Caenorhabditis elegans: one gene and its partners. The protein of the gene in region 1 purifies or fractionates together with the protein of each later gene. This does not show direct contact. Each region holds a gene or a part of one and is shown in the gene's direction. Other genes may lie near its edges.

What was found.
Region 2: the proteins of C32E8.9 (region 1) and ZC443.2 fractionate together in Caenorhabditis elegans (co-fractionation; one large-scale study listed by BioGRID). This does not show direct contact.
Region 3: the proteins of C32E8.9 (region 1) and F33C8.2 fractionate together in Caenorhabditis elegans (co-fractionation; one large-scale study listed by BioGRID). This does not show direct contact.
Region 4: the proteins of C32E8.9 (region 1) and gta-1 fractionate together in Caenorhabditis elegans (co-fractionation; one large-scale study listed by BioGRID). This does not show direct contact.

What each region holds. Positions count from the first base shown.
Region 1 is NC_003279.8:3,794,042-3,799,851, reverse strand, and holds C32E8.9 (Ethylmalonyl-CoA decarboxylase), read left to right. Parts: upstream 1-1,783; 5' UTR 1,784-1,802; coding exon 1,803-1,817; intron 1,818-1,885; coding exon 1,886-2,056; intron 2,057-3,137; exon of another isoform or gene 3,138-3,167; coding exon of another isoform or gene 3,168-3,313; intron 3,314-3,367; coding exon of another isoform or gene 3,368-3,686; exon of another isoform or gene 3,687-3,693; intron 3,694-4,243; coding exon 4,244-4,333; intron 4,334-4,384; coding exon 4,385-4,738; intron 4,739-5,047; coding exon 5,048-5,224; 3' UTR 5,225-5,296; downstream 5,297-5,810. Other genes in the region: Phosphatidylinositol-binding clathrin assembly protein unc-11, read left to right, coding at 499-647; C32E8.1 (RING-type domain-containing protein), read right to left, coding at 3,168-3,313, 3,368-3,686.
Region 2 is NC_003283.11:12,809,667-12,812,812, reverse strand, and holds ZC443.2 (uncharacterized protein), read left to right. Parts: upstream 1-1,620; 5' UTR 1,621-1,654; coding exon 1,655-1,954; intron 1,955-2,073; exon of another isoform or gene 2,074-2,200; coding exon 2,201-2,461; 3' UTR 2,462-2,601; downstream 2,602-3,146. Other genes in the region: ZC443.3 (Glutamic acid-rich protein-like), read left to right, coding at 63-221; ZC443.1 (NADP-dependent oxidoreductase domain-containing protein), read left to right, coding at 2,755-2,829.
Region 3 is NC_003284.9:14,719,597-14,727,155, forward strand, and holds F33C8.2 (DUF38 domain-containing protein), read left to right. Parts: upstream 1-1,801; coding exon 1,802-1,989; intron 1,990-2,777; coding exon 2,778-2,849; intron 2,850-2,896; coding exon 2,897-3,533; intron 3,534-5,848; coding exon 5,849-6,058; 3' UTR 6,059-7,044; downstream 7,045-7,559. Other genes in the region: tsp-8 (Tetraspanin), read right to left, coding at 7,086-7,229, 7,343-7,458.
Region 4 is NC_003282.8:10,178,866-10,184,453, forward strand, and holds gta-1 (putative 4-aminobutyrate aminotransferase, mitochondrial), read left to right. Parts: upstream 1-1,794; 5' UTR 1,795-1,802; coding exon 1,803-1,842; intron 1,843-2,298; coding exon 2,299-2,408; intron 2,409-3,092; coding exon 3,093-3,162; intron 3,163-3,204; coding exon 3,205-3,302; intron 3,303-3,626; coding exon 3,627-3,965; intron 3,966-4,012; coding exon 4,013-4,675; intron 4,676-4,760; coding exon 4,761-4,892; 3' UTR 4,893-5,074; downstream 5,075-5,588. Other genes in the region: mspn-1 (Mitochondrial sorting homolog), read left to right, coding at 1-119, 921-1,076; ptrg-1 (Tyrosine-protein phosphatase 4), read right to left, coding at 5,085-5,144, 5,195-5,328, 5,519-5,588.

The sequences.
Region 1 (5,810 bases):
TTTAAAATTAGAATCTCGGAACAATTGAATTTTTATCTAATTTTTCACAATATTTCAAGATTATTTTAAATGTGAAAATCGATTTTGAAGCATTTTTTGTTAATTTTTGCTTCATTTTCGAAATATGCTCATACACCTATTTTATACTAAAATATAAAATTTAAACCTCTGGAAAAAATTCAGTTTTATTTAAAATCGAAAAATCGGTGGAACATTTCATATTCCAGCAATTTTTGGATAAGCGGAAAAATAATTTTGGACAAAAAATAGCAAAACATTTTTGGGTTGGATTTCGGGCCAAAAAACCAACAAAAAAAATTTATACTTAAATTTATTAAAAAACCGCGAGAAAGTGAGCAGTTTTTGGTTTATTTTTTGGTCTAAATAATACCAAACAAAAACAAAAAAGCCCCACGCCTAGAATAGGAATTCAACCATTTTGTGGGCGTGTCTGGCACTATATTTCGGTAGATTTTCAAAATCTTATTTTTTTTGCAGCAGCATACGGTCAACAATATGGATACGGACAACCTGTTCCACCACAACAGCAACACCAAATTCAATTGGTTCATGCAGCGATGGCTGCAAAGAACGCTGCACAAGCTCAACAGGCCCAGGCCGCCTCAGCCGATCCATTTGGATTATAGTCTAGTCGTCTATTTCTCTCTATCTCTCTCGTAACATTCCCTGATTTATTTTTTTTTAATGTAAAAACAAAATGATAGCCTATTTCTATTTCTTGATATCCCCCAAGATTCTCCAATTTTAGAATTTCCAGTAGATTGTGCAAAACTAATCAAATAGCGAAATCCAGGTGCCACTCCAATTTGAAATCACTTAGTATTCCTTTTTAACCTTTTTTTTTCAAAATTTTTGAATAGTCAAAGTATATTGCAATCAAATGTGTCGTTTTTTTGCATTGAAAAATTCGGAAAAATCGATTTTTTTTCTCGATTTTTCAATTACCCCAAAATACCGAAAAATCAGAATTTTTCGACGTCACCCTTGATTAGAATATATATTCCAGTAAATTGCCTTTTTCTTCGGTCGAATTGTCATAATTTTTCATGCTCTCTAGATACAATGTACCCCCCAAAATTCTTCAGATTCGGCCAAATTTTCGTCAGATCAGTGATGTTTTCCCCCTATCTCTATCTCTGCGTCTTCCAGTCTCTAGCGGCATTTTTTGTTTCATTCTTTCCACCCAAAAATTTATTTTGCAAAACGCACGCTTCTGTGTCCTATTTAATTATTTGAATTTTATATATTTATTTATTGACTCCCCCTCCCCCCCCCGGCTCTCCCATTTTAAGCGCTCGTGTTTCATAGCAATAAATTAAATTATTTTCCATCCTTCCTTTTTTTAGATTTTGAAATTTTGCAACTTTATCTCTATTGCCAAGAAGCGATGATAGATTGATTTTTCAATTGATGCAATAAATATTCGTAGATTCCTCGATTCACGTCATACTTTTTTGTTGTAAAATCTACCGCCAGACACGCCCACAAAATGGTTCATAGCCCCGCCTATTTTAGGGGCGGGGTCTTTGTTGTACGGTTTTTTGTACAAAAATTGTAGGAAAATGAAATTTTGCACCGGTTTTTTGGATTCTAAAACTGTCAAGAAAACTATTGAATTTCTTGTTTTTCCGCCAATACCTAATGAGACCCTGCGTTTGGTGGCGGGGCTTCGACTTGTGACTCAAAAATAGGGAAAATATATTCTTATTCTTCTCACTAACCGCTTATAACCTAAAAATAAAAAGATTTTTCTAATTTTTCAGGGCAACTGAGCGACAAAAATGTCTGGAAAAGTGGTATGTTCTTCGAAATTTGAATATTGCGTGATTCACGACTATGTGCCTTTAGAATTGAATTTTTTCAGGTTAGACCATCCGCAGCACTGCTGGAAGTCTTTAAATCATGGCAAGGCGGTGCGATTCGAGTTCAGCGAAACGAGAAGCTGAAAACAAGACTTGACGTAATTCTGGACCGCCCGGAAAAGAATAATTGTTTGTCTGGAGAAATGATGAAGCAGTTTGGAGAGCACACTGAGGCAAGTTTTTGAATTTGCGCGTGAAATTTGATGCATTAGAGGTAGAGACCGAGCAAAACAGTGTGCGCCTTTAAGAAGTGCAGCAACCGATTTCTCCAGCACTTTTTAATACTAAATGCTTGAGTATATTACTGGAACACAAAATTCCGAGAATGCGTATTGTACAACATATTTGACGCGCAAAATATCTCATAACGAAAACTACAGTAATTCTTCAAATGCACGTGGTGTCAGGCTGTCTCATAACTGTTTGATCTACAAGAAAAGTGGGAATTTTTTACCCCAAAAAATGTGACGTCAGCACGTTCTTAACCACTAGTTGAGAAGTCTGCATCTAAATTCTCGAAATTTTCGAGATCTACGTAGATCAAACCGAAATGGGACACTCTCACACCACGTGTAAATGACATGACTACTGTAGGGCTTGTGTCGATTTACGAGCTCTTTTTACAAAATGAATTTAAATTATTTATTTATCGATTGAATAATAAATTTGAGAAAAAACTAGCAAATATTACGAGGAAACAGATGAGAATGGAATATCGATGTCTTAAAGAAATTCATTTCGAAAATCAAGTCCGTAAATCGACACAATGGCAGCAGTAGTCATTTAAAGAATTACTGTAGTTTTCGCTAAGAGATATGTTGCGCAATGCGCATTCTCAGAATTTTGTGTTCCCGTAATAGAAAAAATTTGAAACAATATGGTAAATTATTATCACGGAATTCTGGCTTCCCTCATAAATCGAAATGGCAGAGTTTGCCGAACTAGGCCATTTTGGGTCGAAGAGATTTTATGTAGATTTACGGCGCGTTGCGTGTCGCGTCGCGGCTCGTTTTTAGTTGTAAAATTGATGTATTTGCCCGTGTGGAGTACACGGCACTTTTCCACACGTTGTCCGGCAGGCGATTGTCAATGGAGCGCGAAAATTCAATGATAAAGGCCAGAACCCCGTGATTACTGTACTAATTTAATTGTCACGCATGTTTTTACGCAGGCTGAACTTGAAATTATTGTGATACCGGTTACTGTAGTTTTGCGCGAAGACCTTAAGAATCTCAGAATCAGAATCAATCTACACAGTATTTTTCAAATCATTTATTCGAATTTCTACTGATTTATGAGAGAAAAATTCTTGGGCAGATTCTCGATCGTCTTGTTATTGAACTTGTACACTTTTCTATCGAATGGACAACGGATCATCTTGTTTTGGATAATATTTCCAGCGCATTCGGTGCAAATTGTGTGGCCACACGCTGAATATGATAAGAATAATATCATTATTTTATGAGTTGCATTGGCAGACTTACGCAGAACACGAGGCACGGTCATTCCAGAATCCCCATATTGTACTGCACAAATCTCACATTCAATCGGAAGAGTTTTGAGATCGGAAATCGCCTTTTTCAGGAAGTCCGTCACACGTTTTTCCTTCTCAAGAGCCTCCTTCGTTTCCACAAAACAATCCACCATATCATCCAGCTGCACCTTCAACTTTTCGTTCTCCGATTGCAGACGCTTCACTTTCTTCATCAACTGTTGCTCTTCCCAAGGAACTTTTTTCACTGGCACCGCATCGTGTCCTACTTGCTCTGCAATCCTCTTGCTTCTGCAATCCTCTTGCTTCATTTTTTTGAAAAATCTGATTCCGTTTTAACATCACGTATTTACACGGCTTTACACGGCCTCTCTCAATTTCATTTATTTAAAAATTCCTTTTTTTTTAATTTTACACGCTCTCACGGGAAGATCAAAAATTATTAAATTTAAATTACACAATTATATTGGAATATTCGAAGGTACAACTATTACTGGAACAAAAACTTTCGAGAATGCGTATTGCGCGACATATTTGACGCCTACTGTATTTAGCGCATGTGTAGATTTACGGGCTTGATTTTCGAAACGAATCGAAATAATTTATTTATTGAAAGAATATATTGGAACGAAGGAAAATGGAATATCGCTGTCGCTACTCGGAAAAAAATTCATTTCGAAAATCAGCCCCGTAAATCGACACAAGCGCTATTTACAGTAGGCAAATAAATTTTCGCTAAATTTTATAAATTTTCACAATATAGTGGGTTACTGTACTTTAAAACACACATGTTTTTGCGCAGTCGTATTTGAAATTATTTTTTTCGTTGCGAGACCGTAGTAAAAATGCCTGAAATATCACTTTTCAGCTATTTTCCGATGATCAAAACGCAATTATCGTTGTTTCGGGAGTTGGAAAATCGTTCTGCTCGGGTGCTGATTTGGGTCTTATCAAAGATGTAATGAAATTCCAATTTTTAAATTCCAACTTTCAAATGTTTAAATTTCAGATTTCGGACCAAAAGCTTGGCGTCCAAATGTTCGAGTACATGTCATCAATTCTTTCACTTCTCCACTCATCACCAGCTATTTCAATTGCGAAAATCCATGGCCACGCACTCGGCGGAGCCACCGAAATTTGCTCGTCGACCGACATTCGAATTGCTCATTCTGGCTCGAAAATCGCATTTTTTCAATCGAAAATGGGAATTGTTCCGTCGTGGGGAGGTGCCGAATATATGGAGGGAATTATGGGTAGAGGACGAGCATTAGCTGCAATGGGACGGGCAAATGTTATGTCAGCTGAGGAAGCAAAGGATCAAGGATATGTGGATTATGTGTACAAAAGTGAAGATGAAGCTGAGGTACGGAACTGTGACGTCATTTGTCGCCTAGAAATCCCATAAAATCGAGGTGCATTCGCGCTCCACTGGCAAATGAAAAGGCTCCGCCTCTAAACGTTGGGTCTCGTTAGGTATTCGAACATTTTCAATTATTCTCGTCTTTTCTTAAAATTAATTTCCGTTTCTTCCATTATTATGAAAAACATGTTTAAAACGGAAAAAGTATGCAAGAAAAAAGTCAATACCTAACGAGACCCAACGTTTGGGGGCGGAGCATTTTTACCTCGCCGTGGAGCGCCATTGCTATAATACATTGAAATATGTTTTCAGAACTTCATCAACCAAGTGGCTAGCGCTGGTTTGAAAGTGACAAGAGCCCAGAAAGCTATGCTGAACGCTGTAAAAATAGGAAAAACGGAGCAAAAACAAGTGCTGGAAGCCGTCTGGAACGGGGAAACTCATCGAAATGCACTTCAGAAACAACTCGAAGCGGTCGTCAAGAAATAATTTTGCTTTTTTTTGAAAGAATTTTGTATTGTATTTTAAACTATTTTTAGAGAAATGAACAATTCTGAATCCAAATATTTATTTCTCCAATACTATTAAACTTGAAAAAAAGTCTAGATGAAAATTAACAAATCTGTGAACTTTGGCATTTGTAGCGATCTCTATGACTGAGATCGTGACGAGACCCACTCAAAAAATCCCATGTGCTTTTGAAATTGCCAATTTTTAGCAAAATTACGATATTTCGGGAGCACAAAAATCTGAGAATGTGTATTGCGTAAAATATCTCGTAGCGAAAACTACAGTAAGTCTTTGAATGACTACTGTAGGGCTTGTGTCGATTTACGGGCTCGATTTTCGATATTAAATAATTTATTTTCCCTAGATTTTCTCAAATTTTTTTTCTCAAATTTGTTATTCAGTCGATAAATATAGAGCTCGTGAATCGACACAAGCGCTACAGTAATCATTCAAAGAATTACTGTAGTTTTCGCTACGAGATATTTTGCACGTCAAATATGTTGTGCAGTACGCATTTTCAGAATTTTTTGTTCCCATAATATCTATATTTTTCTCAATAACGTTG
Region 2 (3,146 bases), on another chromosome or scaffold:
TTCTAATTAATTGTTGGGAAGCAAATTGTTCACTCGTAAAGTTTCAACAAAACTATTTTTAGGCTGCGTCACAATCGAAAATTGTGGACGATGCGAGTGATTCCGATAGTCATGAAGAATTCGACAAATGTGATCAGGATTCAGACGATGGAAGTGACATTGAAGAGTTGGAGAAAATCGAGGACAAGGACGTTGATGCTCTAGAATATGAAATGCTATAGGTGCCAAGTATCTTGCTTTTCTGCCAACGGGTACTTGTGCACTCTGTAACGTGTTTCTTGCTTCAAATTTCTCATTAACATTCTTCCGAATTTTTTCATTTTCAAAATTGTTCAATAATGCCAAAGAACCGTTTGTTTTTCTTTAGTTATTAAATTGAACAAACTGTAACTAAATGTTTTTAACATTCTTATTTGTACATAGAAATGTAACTTCTCTAATTGTTTCATATGTATTCATGTTTCAAGTATTCATTTTTCCTCAACTCCTTATATGAATTTTTGTATAAAATGTAAAAACATCCGGATTTTTCACAATTACCATCCCACCACTGCATAATAATTCTAGATGCCTGCTTGCGCATCATGGCGTCAACAAAACAAAAATGCGTTGTTGTGTTATTTGTTGACAATGACCGGTTTGTAGTAGTGATGGCAGTGGGTGCCACTGCTTTAAGCTTTTCCTTCAAGAGAAAGTGAGTAGACAGGAAAAAAAAGTGAGAAAAATAATAATAGGCTTGATTGAAATTTCTTGTCTGTTCTCATTTTCTTGCGCATGGGTAATGCGTGATACTGAAGCTCGTTAGCATTGTAGAAAACCGAAGAGGGACTTCAAGCTTGAAAGAGGGAAAGTTTTGAAGAGGTGGAAAAATGTGAAAATTGATATAGAAAATCATGAGTTCACGGTGTCAAGTTTCCAATAGAAGGTACAAATAATAGAGCAAGACCAGCACTAAATTTCAGGATAAACACTTTGTTAAAATCTCGCATATTCTAGCTTTAACTAAGTTCAACTAAAAATAGTATTGTTGAGTTTAATTTTAAAATATTTTCGCAAGTTGCGTCCTTGTGGAAGGCTTACTGTACGTATTATGAAGGTACCCACTAGGATGATCCAGTACGGAAGTAAGTCGTAAAGATTTTACCAAACGATTTTTCATAAAGTACGAATTTTTCATAAAGTCTTGTAATTCATAATCGAGGTCACATTGTTGTGGGAAAACCATGCGCTTCACCCACTGACCACCTGATTTCAATAAAAGCTTCTAATATTTCTCTTATCATTTGCTCCAAGCACTCTAGCAGAGCATCATGACGTGTTGTTTTGTTCAATTCTTTTTCTGCATCCTTTACAAAATCAAATCAAAAACAAGCGGGGAAGTGTACGGGGGGTGTGTGCAAATTATAACTCACAAGATGCTTGAGGTGGTCCACTCGTTGCCTCCTTGTTTGTATGTGTGTAGTGTTCCTCATCCTATTTCTCGTTCTCTTTCATTTTGTCTGCTTCTCTACAGCTTTTGTCCATTTATTCTTTTGCATACGATTGGCTTTTCATTTACTTTTTGCATACTTACTACATTTATCCATCTCTTTCATAATAATAACAATAATAATATTTCCAGGGACACTTCCTAACTAACCTGCTTATCTTCAAAATGTTCGAAAAAGTAATCAAACTATGGAGAGATACATTCCCAAAATCGGAGCACAAATTGATGTCAATTGAGTATGTCGCTGCGATTGAAGAATTCAATGAGTATTTCCCTGGATATGCTGCAATGAATGATAGTAACTATTCAAAACTTCAGCATTTCTTCCGTTCTCTTCACCCAATTGGATGTATTAAACCTTTCCGATTTCATTATTCATCGGCATTTGCATTGGAAAACTCATTAGATGACTATCTTCTAAAAAATGCTCAATTCAAAAGAGACGGCTTAGCTGGAGAATGGGCGGTGAGTTTCTAGAATTGTTTTAAATAAAGATGTCAAAATCTTGAACACGTTTGGCATTATTGTCTTAAATTTGAAATTAAATTCCAGTCTGAAAATTTTGAAAGTTTGGTTGGCATATATCAAATGTAGGTTTATTTTGTTAAAATGTACAATGAACTCACAAAAACATCAAATTAACTTTTTAATCCTGTTAGGAAACAACATACACCAAATTCTCTACAATTGAAAAAAAAATCGAATTTTTAGATTCACATCTTTGCCGACCACAACGACCATATTATTGAAAAATACCGAATGTACAAGAAGAAACGACTTGAGAAACTGGAACGAACTTTTGAGGAAAGAAAAAAGAAAGCAGAGAGAATGAATCAAAAGCATGAATATCGCTTGATGTGGTATTTAGGGAAGGAAGGATATTACAAATACACCAATTCACGACTGGAGAAGATGGAAAAAGACCGAGAAATTAGAAATAAAAATGGAAAGGAAATGGAACAAGTCACCTAAACTTCTGGTACTTAAAAATGTATTTTGTGTTCTTCCAAGTCGTCATTATTCGTCTACTTCTACCCATTTGACATAATCTTTTCCTCATCATTCCCCTCGTCCATGTTGTTAATTTCAATAAAACGAAGTACAAATTGGAACAGCGCAAACTATTTTCTTTATATATTAAGAGAAACACACACACAGACCACAAATTCAAGGTCTTTCTTCCAGTTTTAATTCGATAATTAGGATTGCGGTTTGTGTATAAATATGAAGTACCCCCAACTATACAAACTTTATTTTCCTTCGAAATGTCATCAAAAGTTCCAATCTTCACTCTGTCTAATGGAGTTCTCATGCCAAGTATTGGTCTTGGTACCTGGCAGGTAACATTTAAAATTAGTTTGAAGTTTAGAATAAATTAACTACCATTAGCAAGGATTTATTCAACACTTGGTTGTAATGTTACTTGAAATTGCCAGTTTTTGTACATTGATATAATTTTTAGGAATTTTATTAAAGTTTCGGATAGCTGTACCCAACAAATTTCAATAATTCAGACAAAAAATGTTTTATCGGAAATATTTAGAAGCAGAGAAGCAAACTAGAAAATAATTTTTTCGCTCAAAAATCTGTATGAGCCAAAGAAAAGAGTCCACTCTATAATTTCTCAAGAATTTGTTGTATTGGTTCAGTTGTTTAC
Region 3 (7,559 bases), on another chromosome or scaffold:
TATGTTTTCCATGCTCCTTGGCTAATTTCTAATTTTAGTTGTTCTTATTGTTCCTAAAATTTTAATTTAATATTTCTCGACTTATTAGTGATAGCATAATTTTGAGATAACAATTGTTCAGATTCCAAAAACAGCTATGGCTGTTTCCTTTATCGATATGTGTTTGGAAATTTGAAAAAGCACAACCGTATTAGTATGACCGCTCCGTACACATAATCTAACTATGAATCAAACTGAATGGTTCCGATACACTTGAATATTTTGTCCTTCTTATTGAAACTACTACTTCATCCCTAACTTCCATTTGTAAAAATTTCTGAAGGATATCTTCTCGCCCGCTCGCACGTTTCTGTTTTCACATTATCCAATGTCTCTCAATTATTGTTATATTTTTTGTCTTTGGAATACGTTGCTTCCCCTTCTATCAGAGTGCCTCTCTGTCTTGTGACTCAAAAAGGCTCTCTGCAAACACACACACACACACACAGGTTGGCTATCCCCTACTTCCCACGAATGCAGTTGCTAGGCGATTTTTAGACAGGACGACGCCTTCCAAATATACTCACAACCTATTGTGTGAGTAAATCTCTTCATCACGACTCGGTTTCCAGAGCGTCGCGCAGCTGGGCACCGGGCTCTGTCTTCTTTGTCTATAAACCGTGGTCTCTTATCTGATGTGATATTTTCTCACAGTGAAAAATCAATCGGCATCAGTGGAGACTCTGCTTTGTGATTTCAAAATTCGACGCGTCTGACCGCCAACAAGCAGATGGGTGAAGATGTACTTCGTATGCAAATATTTGGAGTGGAAGAAAAAAGGAAAAAAAAAGAGTGTGTAAAAATTATAGGTGAAAAGTAGGCTCCAAGTTGCAATCAGCCATTGGGGGTAGTTGAACAGAAATGTACAAGAAGAAACCAACAAAGATGACAATTCAAGTATCTCATATCAATGCTTGGATGTATAAAAATTAGTTTTGGTAATTTTCCCAAAAAGCCTGAAAAGTATGAGTATCCTAATACCAGATTCAAAAAAGCGAAGGAGAACAACATGAGGTGCGATTGGATTCTACTAAACAGGGTATACAAGATTGGTTTGAAGAGTCATCTTAATTCTACAGAGAAGGTAACCAGCAAAACAAAATCTTCTTCCATTAAGTTTTCTATGATAAACAGTGTATTCGTAGATTCGCACTTCCACATAATCGTTGATAACATTGTCAAAATCATCCATAAACTGAGTGACGCCCACGCAGCTAGACAGGTCTGAGGAGAAAACTGATAATCATTTTCTGACACAAACCAACATTCTCCGGGTCCTTGTTTCTGAATATTGCCAATAAATCTGGAAAGTCACCACTATTACTTTCCTCTTTTGTTTGTATGTTTCGGATTAGCGGCTACAGGTCAGCCAATAAACTAATGCGACATGATGTACGCCTTTATTCCAATTACTTGTGGGAAAGTCTGCTGACAATAAATACACTTTTCACACATCCGAAAGTTGGCTGTTAGTATCTTACACTATTTTTTTCCGATTCATATCACATGCTCATTACAAATGTCTACCTATTATTATCTTTTTTCCAACATTGTAAGCCGTACTTCCCTCCCTTCTCTTACCAGTATCTACATTCGAAACACGATTGAACTAGTGCTGCGCACTCAGCTATCACTTCTTCTTCCCCACGCACATTGTTGCCAGGCAGTTTTGTGAGCTCTTGTTTCTTTTTTTGTTCTGCTCAAAAGCTTATCATTGACGTTTATGAGTAAATTTATGAATTTCAACTTTCAGGAAGTCAACATGGATAGAGAGAATACTGAGAAACTGTGTAGACGGTTCTCCATTCTTAATGAATTTCAAAATAAGCAGCCCGCTCAATATGCTTTTCAAAAACTCAAGAATGCGTTCCCAGATCTTCAAATTGAAGAAGTCGAATATTGGTACAAACAAGGAACCCGTGGATTCGAGGAGGTGTTTCGAAACACTTGGTATGGTATTTTTTGATTTTTATGAACTTTAGAAGTAGTTTTAGAACGCCAAACCGTGTGCTGCCATTTGGCATATGATAAAGGCTAAGGCATATGCTTTGGCTTAGACTTTAGCATAGGCGTAGGCTTAGGCTTAAACGTTTGCTTAGGCTTAAGCTCAGGCTTAGGCTCAGGCTTTGTCCTAGGCTTAGGCTTAGGCTTAAACTTCGGCTTAGGCTAAAGTTCAGCTTTGGCTTAGGCTTAGGCTCAAACATTGGCTTGGCGTCAGTGGCGAGCGCACGCTATGAAGGCTTAGGATTTTCCGGTTTTTTTTTTTGATTTTTGAGGCGGTTCCTGTTGGCCGATTAAGCTTAGGCTGAGGCTTAGGCTTAGGCTTAAGCTCAGGCTCAAGCTTAGTTTCTTCCCAAAAAAAGTTTCTTTCCGAAAGGGTTTGTTTACAAGGGGTCTCACCACAAACGGAAAGCAAAAATTAGCAAAACAAAGCGAAAATTTCGGAAACATTGAGGTTTACGCCAGAATTGTTTTCTGTGACGTCCCAGATAATGACGTTGAAGGTAATGACCAAGCTAGTGATGACATTTGTCTAGGAACTCATTTTTTTGCGTTCTGGGTCAGTTTCCAAATTATTTTTGCTTGTTTTTTTCATTACGTTTAATCATGAAAACGCTGAATTTTTAGTTGAGATGAATTACACTGTAATTGACACTTTTGTGCAACTTTGAAAAAAAAGGTAATTTAGATGTCCTAGTCTTCATCCTTCAAAATTTTGTAACCCAATTCATTTTCAGTCTCGACAGTAGCTCACTGTTCCCAGAACCGAAAGAACATCACATACACAGGAGAATGCCCGAAAATTTTAAGTAAGTGAATGACGATTCAGAACAACTTTATCTACATAAAATTTCAGTTATGTACTTCCACTAAAAATTGAGAAAATCAGTTTGTGTTTGGGTCGCAATTTCGTAGAAATCAATGTGAGCAGAGATGGAAGTTATGAAACAAAGGAATTTATGGCTTTTTATCATGTAGACGCCAAGAAATGCAAAATTCAAAAACAAGGAGAACCTTTCCAGAAATTATCTGCAAAAAATTACGTAGACGCGGCTTTGGACATCTTTCAAGAAATATGTGATGCACCAAAATTGGAAGTTAATGCTCTACGTGTTGAAGTAGCTGAACAGAATCTGCCAGAGACAACAAGATCCGCTTTCTTCGAGAAACTCCAAAAAATGCTCTGGGCCATGTATCCATTCAATTTGGAACTGAGACAATTGAAAATGGTGGAAATTGAAGAAAAGGAAATTATGTTGATTTTGCCATACATAGATCCAAACGAAGAATTTGAACTGTCTATCATTGTGAAAAAACATGAACGGAAGATGGATATGAGAAGAATTATGAACACTGTTCATTGGGGAAACAAATCTAGTCTAAAAACGAAAGGAGTTCTTATAACGTGCCCAATAACTCATTTCTATAATTGTGCAAAAGTTGATGCCACAGTTTTTGCTTTAACACCACAGGAAATTACAGATTATGTCAAGGTATGTTTATTTATTTTTTAAATACACCAGCCGTTCGCACGCGCTGAAGCGCGTGCTCCGACTGGCGTACTCAAAATTAAAATCAAATTCTGAAATTTCTAAGCATTTCACTGCAGATGGAACGTTTTTTTCCTTGTTTTCCGGAAGTTTTCGAGCAACATAAATATTATATACTTAATTTTAAGCAATTACAATTTTAAAACCTCAAGTTTCCTGGAACTTTTATGAGACTTTTTCAGGTCCTTTCCGAAAGTTTTTGGCGAGCGTTTTTGGAAATTATCTATAACAAATTCTGGTTTTTTTTTTAATTCTTAAAACTTCAGAATATTCTAGGAGTATCAAAACTTGAAAGATTCTAGCACTTCGCAGAAGTTTCTTGAATTTTTTCAGGGAATTGAACATTCCAGACTTTTCTCGAATTTTCTAGAAAATTCTGGAACATTCGAGAATTTTCCCGATTTTTCTAGAAAGTTCTGGAACATTCCAGAATTTTTTTTCAGAAATTTTGAATTCCCGCCAAAATTTTTCAAAGAAATTTTGAATTCCCGCCAAAATTTTTCACAGAAAATTTGAATTCCCGCCAAAATTTTTCACAGAAAATTTGAATTCCCGCCAAAATTTTTCACAGAAAACTTGAATTCCCGTTATAATTTTTCACAGAAAATTTGAATTCCCGCCAAAATTTTTCATAGAAATTTTGAATTCCCGCCAAAATTTTTCACAGAAATTTTGAATTCCCGCCAAAATTTTTCACAGAAAATTTGAATTCCCGCCAAAATTTTTCACAGAAATTTTGAATTCCCGCCAAAATTTTTCACAGAAATTTTGAATTCCCGCCAAAATTTTTCACAGAAAATTTGAATTCCCGCTAAAAATTTTCACAGAAATTTTGAATTCCCGCCAAAATTTTTCACAGAAAATTTGAATTCCCGCCAAAATTTTTCACAGAAAATTTGAATTTCCCACCAAAAAGTTTTTCTCAGTAAATTTGAATTTCCCGCCAAAAATTTTTCTCAGAAAATTTGAATTTCCCGCCAAAATTTTTTATCAGAAAATTTGAATTTCCCGCCAAAACTTATGGGTCTCGCCAAGATGGGTCTCACCACGAAGGGTCTCACCACGAAGGGTCTCACCACGAATTTTCTCGAATTTTCCAGAAGGTTCTGGAACATTCCAGCATTTTCTCAAGTTTTCCAGAAGGTTCTGGAACATTCCAGAATTTTCTCGAATTTTCCAGAAGGTTCTGGAACATTCCAGAATTTTCTCAAATTTTCCAGAAGGTTCTGGAACATTCCAGCATTTTCTCAAATTTTCCAGAAGGTTCTGGAGCATTCCGGAATTTTCTCAAAGTTTCCAATATCCGTTCAATAGACGAAAAGTCAATTTTTCCCAAACTACAGTAATCCTACAGTACTCCTACAGTACCTCTACAGTACAACTACAGTACCCCAACCATATCCCGACACTAACCCCAAAGCAATATCACTTCAAAAAACGAAAAGCCAATTTTTTTCAAAAATACAGTAATCCTACAGTACTCCTACAGTATTACTACAGTACTACTACAGTACCCCGACCATATCCCACCACTAACCTCAAACCAATATCACTTCAAAAGACAAAAAGTCAATTTTTCCAAAACTACAGTAACCCTACAGTAACCCTACAGTACCCCTACAGTACTACTACAGTATCCCGACCATATCCCACCACTAACCCCAACCCACAATCCCTTCAACAGCCGGAAACACCTTGCAGGTGTGACGTCACAGACTACAAACTACAATTGTAACATCCCTCATGTATTTTTTTATATATAAGTAATGATAATGAGGGGTGAATATCATAAGTGAGGATTAAGTCAAAATGCACTGACCAACACGACCCATTATAATTTTAAAAAAAACACTCCAAAAATGTTTAGAGTAGGGCTCCCAGCTGAGCGAGGCGCGAAATGGGGGCCTCACGCCGACGCCGTGCGCCGCTGTGTGTGTGCAATAAAGCGCGACAGGTATTTGTTAGGAGCGGCCGACACGTTCGGGGTGCCGCAGCTTGGCGTGAAACGAGAAGCTTGATGTGTGCGCAACGTAGTGCAAAAAAGAGTTATTTGGAAGCGGCCGGGGTTCCGCGTCGCACTATACATTTGGATACAGGCGACGTGAGTGACGCCGTGAGGCCGGCGCGGCGATCTTATGGCAACCTTGTTTGAAGCAGTAAAACTGAAAAAAAATTGAGAAGTTGCACCCTTTTGTCTTCAAATAAAAATCTCATCAAATGCTTCAATCTGTTTCTCATTAAATTACCTAACTATTCAGAAGTTGCTCTACATGGAGACTACTATAACCTCCATCAGTCAAGACTGGAAATCCAAAATCAAGTTTGAAGGGGACACAGCTCTACACATTTTGGAATCGAACAAGTTTTGCCAACGACTTAATTCAAATACATACAGATGCATGGCAAATGACCGATGTGTTTTTGTTACATTCTGCCACCAGGGCGTCAAAATTGCATCACGGCGCTAATAATTCTCATACAGCGCTTTATGGGACTCAGTTTCTATCAACATTTTTCCAGACTTTAATTCACCTTCTCTAACTTTTAAATTATGCGATTATTTCGTATTTTTGAAGCATTTTTTGGTTGTTTTGCTCTTTTGAATTATTTGAAATTTAGTCTTGCTCATTTTCAACTGCAAAACCAATAGTCTCTATGCTCTTCAAAAGTTTTGCACTGTGTTGCAATAATATATTGGAAAGCCATTGTTTCTTTATTTATAGAAGGAGGATTTTTGCAAAACTCAGAAACCAGAATGTAGTTTAATCTTAATCGCAAAAAAATTTAGTTAAATGTTTTTATTTTGAATTCAAAAATAATGAATAACACAGATTCGCTGAAAACTCTTTTGATTTTTTTAAACTATAAAATTTTTCATAACTTTTTTATTTTTGAATGGCTTTACACTAATTGAGAATTTATCATTTTTCGTTTCTGGTTATTTTCCAACCATCTAGTCAAAAAGTATTGGAAAACGCAGAATTTTCCACAAAAAAAACTATTGTGATGTTTGGAAGCAGGGTGCCAGAAAACCTATTATCCTAAGCTTTTCTGAGTTTATCATAAAATTTAAAACACCCGACTAATAACTCAAAAAAAAAGCTGCGCGTGTGTGCTATAAGACCCCTGAAAAACCGTAAAAAATGCAAAAAAAAACAAAAAACTCACTAATATATTTTGACAACAAACATTTTAATTTCAAACGAAAAAATCCTCTCCCCGATCTCAATCTTATCGACCTGAATAATTCGTACTCCTTCAATTGATTTTTTGATCAAGCTACTCCATTCACTACACTCCTTTCCTGAGAAGTCAATTATTGCAAATTCGACTTTAATTGTTTCACAAATATTTATCCAACCACTCTTCATCAACTCTACCCAATCTGAAAGAATTGTTGTTTGTCATTCGATTATTTATCTTTACAAATTCCAATAAATCAGAGAGAAAAACATTTATTATTCATTAAAAAACATCTATAAACAAAAAAGGCGTTTATTTTTTAGAATTGCCTTTGCAACAACATAAGGTCATAGATAACACAATTCCAAGGAGTTGAACAATGCAAAGAACCACACAAACTCCTACTATCAAGCTCAATGAGCTGCTCACGCTTTCGTACACGGCATCGGCGCATCCCTGTAAAAGTTTTGAACTTGATTGTATTTATTTGAAAGTTAGATTAACAAAACTAATTAATAAATCACTGAATATTTACATTGTTTTTATCAATATATTTTTGAAAATCTCACCCGTGTATTGATAAATTGAGCATAAGTGTTGAGCGGAGCTTGGCTGAATGATCTTCCACAGTTATTTGGGTAGGAAAGCTTTCCATGCTCATTACAGCAAGATGATGGGACTCGACCTGAAATATTGTGATTTTTTCGTAAAGTTAGCTAGCTACAAAATTTATATACTTTTTCGAATGTCTATGAAATCATTGTATGTAGGAAAACTTTTAAGATT
Region 4 (5,588 bases), on another chromosome or scaffold:
CCAAGCAAAGAAGTCAGATTCTTAATGTGATTCTCAGGAATGAAAAGATCAATAATACTGTAAATCTCGGAGAAATCGCACAGGCAGCAGAAGGTCTTAGTGGAAGTGATTTGAAAGAGGTTCGTGCTTTTTTTCTTTTTAAAATTTTAATCAAATATATTACATCCCCGAAATGGTCGTAATATTATTAGTTCGCTTTGTGGCTATATATGTCACATATATTCTAGTGGAATTCGGTAACGAAATATTTAATATAAATCTGTTCAACATGAAAAATTGTAGACAATAATATATCTTGGATTTCCTATAAAATCCAATACATTTTTAACATGAATTAATAGTGAAACAGCAAATAAGTATATGTGTTTTTATTGAAAACTACGAAAACTCGATTAAACTTTTGCAACAACGAGAGTTTGAAATTACAGTACTCTTTAAAGGTACACACCTTTTCATAGTTAACATAAAATTTCGTGTCGAGAATATTTGGGGCAGAAATCGCAAAGTTTTGCGAGCTTCATGAGAATAAATTGCTGTTTCACAATTAATTCATGTTTCTAATGTGAAAAATGCATTGGATTTTAAAGGAAAAATGTAATTTGTAATATGATAAAATGTAATATAATTGTCTACAGTAACCTTAAAGGAAAAAAAAATACAAATAAAAACATTAGTGAAGAGAATTGTATATATTTAATACAAGTTGTTCTAATAGTGAGCTTGAAAAAACTTACAATTTTGAATTTAATTTTAAAAAAACTCATTTAAATTATTTCAACTTCTTCCAAAATCATCTAAAAATATTTAGAAGTTAGATACACAATAATTAGCTTAAAAAATAATACGCGTTCGAAAATTTTAAGTTTTTATGTTACAGGAAAATGAAACGCCAATAATCGTGTTGTTATGTAATTTTTCAGGTTTGTCGTCTTGCTCTTCTCGCTCGAGCAAAAGCTACTGTAGCTTCTGGAGGTTCCGTAAATCAACTTCTTCCATTGGAACAGTCCGATTTTGAGTCAGCAGTGCATAAATATATGAGAGCCGCACATTTACTTGTTGAAGAAACACTTGATTAGTCTTAAAAGTTCAAGAAACGAATGTTTTATTTCATGTAAACTTCTATTTCTTTTTCTCTAAAAGTAGTCCATTCGTTCTTGTAGGTCTCAATTTATTATACCTTTTTGTAGTATAAAGCTAAAGAAATGTAACGGTGCTTTGACTTAAAATCGAAAATCTTTTTTTTTATTCCCCGGAGCTTCTAGAACAGATTCAAAAACTAATATTTCTGATTCCTGATTTTTTACTTCCCTATTCTTATGTATTGCATTGATTTAATAAGTACGTTTAGATTACCGGTTAGATTGTATTCTCTTTTTCTCTTTTCTTTCACTTGTCGATATCTCCAGAATCTGAAGAAACAATAAATCGATCACGTGACCCCATCTCTTTGTGTCAGTTGTCCTTCCGATTACACCCTTCGTGCTCTGCGAGCCTTTTTCTTTGCACAACGTGGAGCAAGTTTACACCATTCACAGGCTCAATATAAACGTCTTCCATTGGCTTCCAATTTTTCAGTTTACTTCTTCAAACAATTTTCACTAGAAAACGCATTTATTTCCTTCACTAAAAAACATAAGCTCCTCCCCCTGCCTTTCTCTGCGTCTCGTTTGACGCCTAAAAAGAGAAAACGGGAGAAAAAATTATTCGGTTTTCTCCTGCCACTTCAAATTTTACTCTTCTTTCTCTTTGTTTTTTTCAAATCGATTTTCGAATAATTTGAATAGTTTTTTTCAGAAGGAAGAATGCTTCCCAGACTGGCAAAGTCATCTTTAATCCAACAGGGTAAACCAATTAATATATTTTGGATTCAACTGGGATTTATTTAGGAAATAATTTAACATATAATTTTTGATTTTGAAAAACCTAACCTGCAGCTTTTTAGTTCTTCTAGATACATTCATTTTCAACCCTTTTTACTTGCATCTTTGACCTAAAACACATTGAAAAAGAAACAAACAACACTTTTTTGATTCTCTTATCAGTTTATCAGTATCACAAACATTAACGAAGGCAATTGATTTTTCTCGAGTAAAACCGAATAGGGAAAAGATCAGAAAAACTGAACGATAAAATCGAAGTTTTGGTAAATTGGCAGGTATTTTGATATTCACCACATGTTTCAATTTGGAAGATTAAAAAAACAAAATTTTCTGAAATTTTAAAAAAATACTAAAACACTTCAACACCATGAGAATGTTTCCAAAAAATGCTCTGACTCAATTGAAACGTTTATTTTAGTGCGTGGAGTTTCGGCGATTGCAAATGCCGAGCCATCTGGACCTAGTATTTCAACGAGCATTCCTGGACCAAAGTCAAAGGCGTTGAAACAGGAAATGGATAAAGTTCATGTAAGAATTGAGATATCGAAAGTTAAATGGTTTTTTTAAACATCATGGACCTTAAAATACCTTCAAATTGTGATAACTTATTTTTTATATCTATTCTAAATCTTATACGCTCATTATGTATTGGTTTTAGTTTTTGACAATTATTCAGTGGCGAAATCGCTTGAAATTACTTTTCAAACAAAAACTTTGGCTGAACTTTCTGACAACTTGCTCAACAGAAGCTCAACATTGTCAATTTGATTCTAAATTATTAAGAATTATAAGATAGATAAATTATAATTTTAGATTACAAAACATTATTAGCTATTTAATGGTCACACAATTGCGAAGAATTTCGAGCCATTCAGTTCAATTTTCAAATCAAAAACCAACATCTCAACTCCGTAATTACATGAACATCACATTCTTACCCTTATCACAGAACGAATGAAATTCGTCTCAGAAATATTACACTTTCTCTGGTCAACTGACAACTGACATTCAGGAGTTTTGATTATTTGATTTTAGTTTTTTTAATTTCAAATCTTCAATTTCATTGATAATACAAAAAATAAAATAATATTTCAAGGAAATTTAAATTTTATACATATTGTCAAAAATACTGTAGTTATGAAACATATGAATCATTCCAAATGCAATATGAGATTTCAAAATTTTATAAAAATTAAAAAAATTTTTTTTCAGCAAACTACATCCGTTCGTTTCCATGTCGACTACGAGAAATCATTCGGAAATTACGTTGTAGATGCTGATGGTTAGTTTTTATTTTCAGTTTACACACCAGGATTTAATTTAGGAAATGCACTTCTCGATGTCTATACTCAAATATCATCTCTTCCTTTGGGATACAATCATCCAGATTTGGTTAAGGTCGCTTCGCAGCCACATTTGATTGTGAGTTTTTATAAATTGATTTCAAAATCAATTTTTGAACCTCTTACAATCAATTGGAGCATTCGAACTTAGCCTTCCATGTACGCATGAAAATGTTTTACGCCGCATCCGCATTCAGGCACAAATACAGAAATTAGGCGGTAGGCAGTCAGGCAGGCAGGAGGAAGGCACATAATGACCATATTTTCACATTAACCGTACACCTAGAAACCAGTAAAAAATTAAATATTAAGTGATTTGCCTGTCTGTAATATTTGGATAAAACTAAAGAAAACAAGATACTTACTGAAAAGTTGAGAAATGTATTAGAAAATAAATTTTCAGACATCTCTTGTTTCTCGTCCAGCTCTTGGATCCTTCCCACGTACCGACTTTGCTGATGGAATTTCTCATGCTCTTACATCAATTGCTCCAAAAGGATTGAAGGCAGTTCAAACAATGCTTTGCGGTACATCGGCCAACGAGAATGCAATCAAAACTGCATTTATCTGGTATCAAGCTCAGAGAAGAGGAGGTCTTGGACCAGATGCTCTTCATTTGGAAAGCTGCATGAATCAACAGAAACCAGGAACTCCAAATCTTTCAGTTATGGGATTTGAAGGAGCTTTCCATGGAAGATCTTTGTGCATGTTGTCGGTTACCAGAAGTAAGCCAATTCATAAGGTATTTCAAAGTTTTATTTCGAAACAATTCTAATTAATTATTTTCAGGTTGATATTCCAGCATTTGACTGGCCAATTGCCAAGTTCCCCCGTTATAAGTATCCACTTGACCAGAATGTTGCATACAATAAGAAGCAAGATCAGGAGTGTCTTGCTGACGTTGAAGCGAAGATTTCCGAATGGAAACGTCGTGATAATGATGTAGCTGCAATTATTGTTGAACCAATTCAAGCAGAAGGTGGAGATCATTATGGAAGTCCAGCATTCTTCCAAGGCCTCCGTGATATTACTTCTAAACATGGAATTGTATTCATTGTTGATGAAGTTCAAACTGGAGGTGGAGCAACTGGAGATATCTGGGCTCATGATCACTGGAACTTGAGCTCTCCACCAGATATGGTCACATTCTCAAAGAAACTTTTGACAGGAGGATACTTCTACGGAGAACATCTCCGAGTTAAGGAGGCTTACCGTATTTACAACACATGGATGGGAGATCCGACCAAGCTTCTTCTTTTGGAAAAGGCTGTTGAGGTTATTAAGAGAGATGGATTGATTGAGCAGAGCAGAGAAGTTGGAGCTGAATTCCAAAAGAGACTTGGAGAACTTCAAGCATCGTCTGGAGGAAAGTTGGATCAAGCCAGAGGAAGAGGAACTTTTGCCGCCGTTGACTTCCCATCTGGATCTTTGAGAGACAAATTTGTTGACTTGGTAAGCAGAATTAATAGTGATAAATGTCAAATTCAGCCATCTTACATTTATATATTAAATTTCTTAAACTTCAATTTAATTTTAGGCCATCAGCAACGGACTTCACTGTGGAGGATGTGGAGACCGTTCACTTCGTTTCCGTCCATCACTCGTCTACACCAAAAAACATTTGGATCTGACTTTCGATCTTCTCGACAAGACTTTGAAGGGATTGTAATCATTTTTTCTTTTGTTTTCTCTTTAAAGCTGTATCCATTTTATTTGCTTCGCTGACCATCTAGCTTGTTATTATTTCAAAATATAATTAATAAATTAAATATTCATTTATAATGACACCGGAAATTGATTTTTTATTGTTTCTTCTCGGGAAGTTATACTTCGGATCGATTCCAATTGAATTTATAAATTTTTAGACACGTGTTCCTCCGACTAGCTGTGACATCTTTTCATAGATTATCTCGATTTCTTGCTGAAAACAAAATAATTTGGTATTGGAAAATGAGATAATTCGATTTTCACCTTCGAGGCAAAAATACCACACTGAATTTCGGTATACGATGAAAGAACCTGTACCACGTCAACACAACCCGTTGTCTCCAGTTGACACGCTAAAGTTGTGGCTGCACAAATACTGAATGCAAGTGCTGTATCATCTGAATATTCATCAATTTTGTTATAAATATAATATAATTAAAGTTTAAAGTATTTACAGATCATAGTATGTACGTTTCTACGCACACTACCATTTTTAAACTAGAACCAAAGGGGTTTTTATAAACTCCAAATTTGTGTTACAAAATTTTTTTGAACCAAAAATATTGATAGATATCAAGCTATACTCACCATTAAACAAAATAGAAAGTGATAATGTAGAAGTACTATCTGTTGGTGATGGAACACTTGGTGGGTATTT